2 linked regions of the Oryctolagus cuniculus genome follow. The protein of the gene in region 1 interacts with the protein of each later gene in a pairwise test. Links are inferred from orthologs where the notes say so. Each region holds a gene or a part of one and is shown in the gene's direction. Other genes may lie near its edges.

Evidence for each region.
Region 2: the proteins of PLD1 (region 1) and PEA15 interact in a two-hybrid assay, tested with the Homo sapiens proteins (2 studies listed by BioGRID). The link is inferred for Oryctolagus cuniculus from reciprocal best matches to the Homo sapiens genes PLD1 and PEA15.

What each region holds. Positions count from the first base shown.
Region 1 is NC_091435.1:108,448,319-108,452,564, forward strand, and holds the start of PLD1 (phospholipase D1), read left to right. Parts: upstream 1-1,245; 5' UTR 1,246-1,385; intron 1,386-4,246. UniProt on the Homo sapiens protein: Function as phospholipase selective for phosphatidylcholine. Implicated as a critical step in numerous cellular pathways, including signal transduction, membrane trafficking, and the regulation of mitosis.
Region 2 is NC_091438.1:38,719,574-38,724,026, reverse strand, and holds the start of PEA15 (astrocytic phosphoprotein PEA-15), read left to right. Parts: upstream 1-1,577; 5' UTR 1,578-1,760; intron 1,761-4,453. UniProt on the Homo sapiens protein: Blocks Ras-mediated inhibition of integrin activation and modulates the ERK MAP kinase cascade. Inhibits RPS6KA3 activities by retaining it in the cytoplasm. Inhibits both TNFRSF6- and TNFRSF1A-mediated CASP8 activity and apoptosis.

The sequences.
Region 1 (4,246 bases):
TGTGAAGGCACTTAAATAACCTTATTTCTAAGGCTCCTCAGTAGAAAGACCCAGGGCTGTAGCTAGTGCCAAATGTTTTACTAATCACTTCTGAGTGAGGAATGCAGCTTTATGGGCTGCTGCTTCTCGAACTGAAGGTGTAATAACTTCTAGGGACAAGCCTGTAAGAGTGCAGTTACTCGTTCGCATAAAACTTATCACATCATCTGTGACTAATAAAACTTGAGAAAGGGGAGTGTTCAGGCTTTCGGTAACATGCTTGTGCTAAGCTTGCCAGAGGGCCCTGTGCTTAATTGTAAAAATCTGTCAGTACCCCAGGATTCAAAAGGCATCAATCAGGTCTGTCGGCAAGGAGGGAGTGAAGGCTGTGTGACTCTTCCATCACTGGAAAAGATGTGCTCAGGAGAGAAAAATGTAGTGGGGCGGGGGGAAGGGGCGAGCCAAGTGCAGGTTACAGGAAAACGGAGTTGCAGACTGGAATTTCACGCCCCTCGTCTCCCTTGGACTGAACACCGCCTTTTCAGTTTTATGCCGCCCCATGTGTGCAGTGAGACGTTATGGAAGCCGGCCAGCCTGGGCGGTGGAGCACACACGGCCCACGCTGTGAGCACAGCGGTGCGCGGGAAGGCTGCGCCTTTCGGTGGGGTGCAAGATTGTGTCACTTGGCCGGGACTGGACGGCTGGTGCTCCTTTCCTTAATTAACACTTTCAGGGGACGAAAACCAGCACAATTGCTGTTCGGACAGTTCGATCGGGGGAGGAGGGGTGTAATGGGAATTTTCCAAGTCTTGCTCTCGGTGTCGCCACCCCCCCCCCCCTTGATGCTAAGAAGTCTGAATGACATCCAGCTATCGAGACATCAAGACACAAATTCCCGTCCCCAGGGATCTCTGCTGGGAGTCTAGACGCCGGCTACTTCGCCGGTCCGAGCCTGTTTTCTTACCTGTAGAGTGGCGACAACACCTACCCGAGGGAGTCGCAAGGAGTCTCATAAATGCCATGAACAGAGCTCCTACGTCTTAGCTAAAGCACCCCGAGCAAGAAAGCTCGCCTTTCGGTCCGCCCTTAGAGGCTGCCAGCCGCGAGGATGGGGGAATACAGGCAAAGCCCCCCGAGCGACCCAAACGCCAGGGGCAGAGGCCCAGCTGCGGAGCCCGCCCGCCTGTCCTGCCGGGCCGCCAGCCTGCCGGCGCCCGGCACCGCTTCGCCCCACCCCCGCACAGCCCGGGCGAATCCGCGCCGCGAGTTCCGGGCGCCGGCGCCGCGCCGAGCGCCCCCGGGCCCGCCCTCGTCGCTCCCGAGCCTCCAGCTGTGCCAGCTACGCCCGAGCCCCGGGAGCTCCCAGCCGCCAGCGCGCAGGTGCCCGCGGCCCCCTCGCCCTGCAGGTAGGCGCCGCGCGCGGACGCAGCGGCTCGCGGGGCTCCCACCGGAGCTGGCTTGCCGCTGCCCTGGCCCTCCGTCCCTCCTCCCGCTGGCCCGCGCAGCCAGGCCGCTCCTCGCCCGGCTTGGACGGGACCTCAGCGCCGCGTGGGCGGTGGACTGCCGAGCAGCCCCCGGCCTCCCGCGGACGCCGCGAGATCCGGTGCTGACAACCTGGGCTGCCTGCGGGCGGAGGCAGGGGGCGTGCCCTGCAGGGTGCACCCCGACTCGCGCAGCCACGGGCCCCCCCCTGGGCGTCCAGCGCCGCTTGGGTTAGCAAGCCCCGCGGCATGACAGGGATAGGGGCGCGGTGGCACCAGCATCCTAGACGGACCAGGAAGTGCCAGGTCCCGAACTTCTGCGGCCCTGGGGACGCTGGGCTGGGGTGAACTGCTGGCTGGCAGTGGGGCGTGTGCTCAGAGCCTGTTCTCAGGGCACTCGGGTCTCAGATGCAGGCGTGCCGTCCTCCCAGCGTTGGGTGAGATTGTGTGATGCCGGGAGCCTTGGTGCAGAGCTACCGCGACACCTGTGAATGCTTCTCCTAATCTCGTCATAGTGCTTTCTTTACTTCCTCCATGAAGCGCTAAGCGCAAGTCGATTTTTAAGGACACCAGGAGTTTCCCCGTTTGATCATCCCCTGGGTCTAGTCCCCAGAATGGGGAGTTAGCTTCGCTTTATTGGGCGACCGCTAACTTTAGATAACCCTTTGTGGGCCTCCCAGGGCCTCTGGGAGCAGGAACCCAGAGCACTGCGAGATATGTTAGATGGATTAGATAATGATGGTGCCCTGGAAATGTCCAGGAGAGGAGTCTACAGTTTTGAGCCGTTAACAGACGCCGCATTGATCCACTGCCCACTTGAATAAGCAGCTCTTTCAGAGTTAACTTTGGAGGCGTGCGGACAAGTGTGCGTGCAAGTGCATTACAAAGCCTTTCAGCCTGAGTTTGTAGGCAGCCTGTAAGTGTTTTTCTGGGGGGCCTTTCATTATATATGCTCCCAGCCTGTCTTCTCAAGATCTAGTACAACTCACGATCCAGATAAAAAAAAGTATGCCTTATGAAGACTTTGAGGAGGGCCTGTCTTTTCCGAGAGATTTATGAACCGTGGTGCTAAGGACTGTGTAGGGCTCATTTGGTTTTGCTGATTCACTTATATAGGTAGTGGTGGGGAACCCTGCTCCTTGGAAGTTTCCAATGACTTAGTGGGTGTTCCTTATAGTTCTAAAGTTCATTTACCTTTAGCTGTTCCAGGGTTTGTTTTTTTTTTAAGCTTTTTTTTAGTATGTTTTTATTGTAAAATGTACACCACCTACAATTTCCCATCTTAGCTGTTTTTAAGTGCACTTTTCGTGGCATTAAATACATTCGCGTTGTTTTGCTTGTGTCACCATCACCCAGCCACAAGACACTCTTTTTTGTGTACACCATTTGAATGATTGTATTGCAGCTTTAGTTTTCTTACTATGCAAGGCTTGAGGTTTTCTCATGGTTTTAGAGGAGCAGCTGCTTTTAAAGAGGATGGGTGAAGATAAGCTTGTGAGCTGGTTAGGATTGTATAGAAGAATGCTCAGAGGGTTAGCTATCAACCAAAAGGAATGGCAAGGAAACTGTTGACAGTTTCCTGCCCTGCATATCTAACAGAAACTACAATGGACAGTTTTGTGTCTCCTTCAGCCTGTTTAAATTATGCTTGAGCTTGGGAGGTGGAGCCTTTTCCTTAACTAGAAGTGAGTTTGATCCAGCTGGCTGCTTGGTGTAACAATTTCCTGTCCACCATGGGTATTTACTAAAGATGGATGCTGGAGTATCCAGCAGGTAGGATCTGGCTCCTAGGCTGAGTCACTGCAAGGCCTGTTTTTATGTTTACAATCCTCAAGTCTTAGCACCACAAAATAAAATTTATTTGCTAGGGTGTGGTCAAAAGCTATTGCAGGGTTAAACTGAGAAACATATAACCCAAGTTTCCTGTGAACCCGTGACGTTTTTGATTAGTAAGGGATTTACCCAAATGTGGGAACACATTCCAGTGTGTTTGCTTCCGGAAATTCACAGCGCAGTGTCAAACCTGGATCCCAGATGTGGCTAGTGCAGGGTGATTAAACAATGTCTAACATATAAGTGTTTCACAGAGTCTCAATTTTTTTTTTTCTGTTGTGAAACTCCTAATTTTTAAATTATTGAACAGACTTGGGACAGAATCAAATCAACTGTTTGTGGAGAAATACACACATTACATACACTGTATCAGGCACTATTCTAAGTATTTTACTAATGTGACCATATTGAATGTTCCAAACAACCCTGTTTAGTAGGTGATCTTATTATCTGGATTTTGTAGATGAGGCATTTTGATGCATAGCCAAACCATACAACTGGCACATGGCAGTGCTGGGGTCCCAGCCCAGGCAGTCGGAACACAAGAATTTTGGCATTGGTGTCTCTCCAAAAAGATACAACCTGTGGTTTTATCTCTCTCATAAATGCCCTTTTATTTATTTGTTCTTTTTTTCAGGTTTCTGTATTTCTTTTGGTTCTTGTTTCAGCATAAGTAATGTAACATAATTACATGATACAGCTCCTTTGCAGAAGAGGAGCATGGTTATGTCCAAGGATGGGGGGTTATGTCTACCCTGGGAAGGTCCTGGAGAACCCCCTGCCGGCCAGGCCTTCCCACTTGGCTGTGAGGAAATTGGGACAAAGGATCCTGGGTGTAGGGGCTGGGGAAGCCACAGGTGTATTTGGGAGGGAACAGGTGGCATTTGTCAATGAGGAGGAATGTGTTCAGTATTTAACCATCACTTTGACCACACTAAATAAGGGCCCAAGGT
Region 2 (4,453 bases), on another chromosome or scaffold:
CCAACTCCTGTTTTTTAAGCAGTCATCTGTGTCAGCCCCTAGAGACTTACTATTTCTGAATCTCAGAAGAACCCTGTAAGATAGGCTTGGTGGTGGGACAGGTATTTGTCACAGTGTTTAAGACGCTGCTTGCAACACCCACATCCCATACTGAAGTGTCTGGGTTCAAGTCCTAGCTCTGCCCCCAATTTGTTTCCTGCCAATGCTCACTCTGGGAGGCAGCAGGTGACTGAGTTCCTGCAACCCACGTGGGAGACCTGGGTTGAATTCCTGGCTTCAGTCTAGCCCAGCCTCAGCTACGGTGGGCACCTGGGGTATGAAGTGCAGGATGGGGTATTTCTGTCTCGCTCTCAGCATTAACTCTTAGAAGGCACTGGCATCCCCACCATACTGGTAAAGACCTGGAGGCTTGGGGCATAACTTGTCCAAAGAAGGAGTGCAGCCAGCACGGAGCCCTCATGCCCGTTGTTGCCCTCAGGAGAACTGAGCCCTGCACTTGCACACTACGTGTCTATGGGGAAGTCATCTAGTATCTGAGCCTCCAAAGATGGGTCAACGAAACAGCATGGCCCTACGACAGACAGCAAGGGAGATCAACATTGACAGACACATTTAGGAGGGTGCCTTACTATCAAAGGGTCCCTGACTGGGCAACCTGGGAGAGAGGAAGAGCAAAGAGCTGGGAAACTCAAGGCAGCAGGAGCCTGAGCCTCTCCCAGGGGGGTGGAGACCTAAGGGTCTCTGCCAGGCTGGAAATGAGGCAAGATGGGGGTGTCCCCAGAGGTGGTACCAACACTGGGGGTGCTTGGGCCTCCTCCAAGAACTAGACCATATCAGAGTTGGCCTTGGGGGTGAAAACAGCTGCTTCCCCAATTCTCCCTTCCCTCTTTCAGTATGGCTGAGAATTTGGGGGAGGAAAGTCCCTGAGATGAAAGGGAAGTGAGAGCTACCAGGCTAGGCCTGGGTAGAGGGACAGAGCGAGGAGGCAAGCTAAGTGCGGCTTTGTAAGTTGTCTATATTTGCATGCTGAGCTCACTGCTGTTCTTTTTCTCCCCAGAAAATAAAATTACATCATGGTGGGGGATGGCAGGAGGGGGGTGCATATTGGGGAAAGGTGAGAGGAAAACAAGGGGGCCGCTGCCGTCAATGGCCTGGGGCTTCCAGGTCAAGTCAAGGAGGGCCCCATGCTACCGTTCACCCATCCCCCACACCCAATGCGAGTAAATCTGATCGTTTACTACCAGTGCCTCACCGCCAGGCTTGGGGAAAGACCTTTTTTCAAATACCAAAGCAAGCAGAGGTCAAAGGCCTTCCAAATTCCTAAACCTCCCAGGGTCCCAGCCAAGGTGGTCACCTAACGGTCACAAGGGGAGGAGGGGGATCCCACTGTGAAAGAATGAAGCCTGAGAATTGTTTAGGCAGAACAGGAGCTGTCCCTACTCCGGCCCTCCGCCCAATGCCGTCCCCAGTCCTAGGAGCCTTCCAGAACCCCGGCCCCTCGGTCCCCCGCCCCTCCGGCCTCCCCTCCCCGCCCCCTCCTCCGCCGCTCCCGCCCCCCGCCCCTCCCCGGCTCTGACATCACCGGCCAGCCGGGTGGGGTGAGGCGGCGCTGGGCTCGGGCTCCGGCTCCGCGGGCGGAAGAGGCGGCGGCGGCGGCGGCAGCGGCAGCAGCGGCAGCAGCCGAGGAGGAGGCTCCGGACGCTGCTCAGGAACCGGGGACCCCGGAGCGCCCGCTCCCTGAGCGCTCAGCTCTGGAGGCGGTGAGAGGGGCGGAGAGGAGACGTGTCGCGGGGAGGGAGCAGATTTGGGTCTGGGTTTGAAGGGATGACCATCTGGGACGCTGGCGGACAGGCAGGGGAGCGTGGGGACCCCGGACGGGTCCTCTCAATCGGTGCGTCCCGAGCGCCGAGCGTGTGCTGCGGGCAGCGTGGCTTGGGCCACCCTTTCCCCACTGAGCGGCAGTCTGGAGTCGGACCCGGGCCTGGGAACTAGGATGCAGCCTGCTTCCCGCCCAGCCGGCTCGGCCGGGCCAGCTCCCGCCCCTCCCTCGCGGCCCCGGCCGGACTCGCCCCCGCCGGCCGGCCGCCTCCTGGCCCGGCCCCGCCTCAGTTCCGCGGGCAGCCGGCCGCCGGCCGCGTGTGCCCTCACCGCCGGCTCTCCGCACCTGGGGAAGAGGTGGGATTGGCAAAGGTTGTCCCGAGGGAAGGAGGAAGGAGCTGGGGGTGTAGAGGAGTGATGTCTCTAACGTAAAACCCCTAATTAATTCCCTACAGTTCGTGTCGAAACTGACAGGGGCACACGCACACCTACAAGAGACAGCCAGCACACACAGTGACACACACCCATGTGACTCTTACACACATCGCCTCACACACGCCAAATCACACACATCCACAACCCCACTCGCTCCCATGTGGAGCCTTCTGGACTGTGGGCCCCAAGATGCCAGTATGACAGGACAGCTGAGTAGTGGATGGAGGGGGCCACTGGCCCCAACCCAGCCCTGGATTTTAGACTACTACTCTTTAAACAGAAGAGATGAGGGAAAACCCTGGTCTCTCACCTCTAGGACAAGGAGACAGGATCTTGAAGGCTAATGGTCCAGTGCTCTTGGCTGGGTGGGAGGGAGGGTAGGGGCGTCTGGCTGTCCCTCTTGCTGGGTACAGTTAGAGCTCAGGGGGCTGGAAGTGGCTAGTTTCTAGGTTTCATAGTGGCCAAGAGATGGGGGAGGGAGTGGGAGAAAGGGAGAGGAAAAAAAGAATGAGTCAGCCAAGGATGGAGAGAGAGAATGAGAGGAATGTCTATGAGGAGACAAATATGGAGAAAGGGACAGAGATACAGGCATGGAACCAGGGAAAGAGAGATGGTCAGAGGTGTGCAAAGAGTGTTGGAGAGTGGGGTAAAGAGGCTCAGAAACTGGGGAGGAGGAAACAGAGGGTTAGGAGGAACATGCTGAATATGTATGTCTTGTTTGGTGTGTGTCTGGCCCCCAGGCTGTCAGAGCGATTTGCTTTAATTGCTCTTCCCTTTGTGGTTAAACACTCTGTTGAAGAGATTGCCAGCAATGCCTTAGGCTGCTGGCTTCCCTGGTTGTCTGCTTTCTCACTTTGGCGGCACCTGTGCCCAACACGTGTGCATGTACTGTCATGCATGAAGAAGTGGGTCACACAGAATCGCACAGTGCCTCTCTCTCACGCATGTCACGGTGAGCACTTCCACCAGCCAGTAGGCAGTCCACCACTGCATCTGCAGGCCCCTTCTACCACACACAGCAGGGACTCAAACCCCTTCCTAACAGTGGCTCTAAGTAGTCCCATGGGGACCCCGAGTAACAGAAGCCAGGAGTCCTAAGGATTCATGGCCACCATCAAGTGGGATGGGTAAGAAAAGCTTGAGGGGATGAAAGCCCATTGAAGGGAAACTAGGAAAAGAGAGGTTGAAAGCATAAGGGGAAGAAATAGATGAGAAAGAAGAGCCAGAGAGAGGAGACAGAAATAGGAGCAGGGAGTGTAGATAGATGGACGAGGCAGTCGCAGGCCCTACCCGCCTCCTCCTCCTCAGGCAGCCCCCTCTCCCTGCCTGATCCATCATCAGCTGTCTCCTGGTGCCCCCGAAAGCTCTTGTCCGCATGCCCAGGGGTAACCCATTTTGCTTCGTGAACATTTTGGGGCCCAGATGTCCTGCCTTCCCCCACTCTGACTGACCCTGAAGCTTCAGAGCCCTCTTCTTCATTCCTTACAGGAATAAAGATGATCCTTCCCCTAAGCTCCACGCTAGATAGAAGCTTAGGGACAAAGTCAGTCGAGTATATTAAAGGAAATAAACTATGGAATTGCTTGAATTTGTGGTCCAGACGTCACTTAGCTGGAACCCTACTCTCCCTCCCTTCCCCATGCCTCTGCCTCTCCTTCATTACTTCTCCCAACTTCAGGCAACAAGACGGACAGACTTGAATGCTGGGGAGTCCCTTCCTGCCCATTATAGGGACCTCCAGGTCCTCGCAGCTGTGTGGTATGGCCCCGCCCCTCAGCCTTAGGCAGCTGCAGCAGATGTGCAGGAAGGGGATGCAGCACCTCCTAATCCTCAGGCTTCCTTCGCACTTGTTAAATTTACTGAGGATTTGGAACTAAATGCTAGGAAGAGATGATCATCTACCATGAATTAATGTCAAAATGCACAGAAATTCCTTTGGTGCTGACACCTCCTCCACAGGTAGTTTTCCTAGTTTTGCCCAGCTTCTCAAAGCACCCCTAGGGCCTGCCTGTTCCTGCTCCGGGGCTCAAAGAGCACCCACCTGTCGTCCTCCCAACACTCCCTGCCCCCTTTCCCCAGCATCATCAGTCTGCTCCACCTTTGTCAGGGCTCCTCCTGGAGTCAGCTTGGAAGGAAGGGGAGGAAGGAAATGGGGGAAGGAAGGTGTGAGGAAGCAGTGAGCAGAGCACAGAATGAGCTG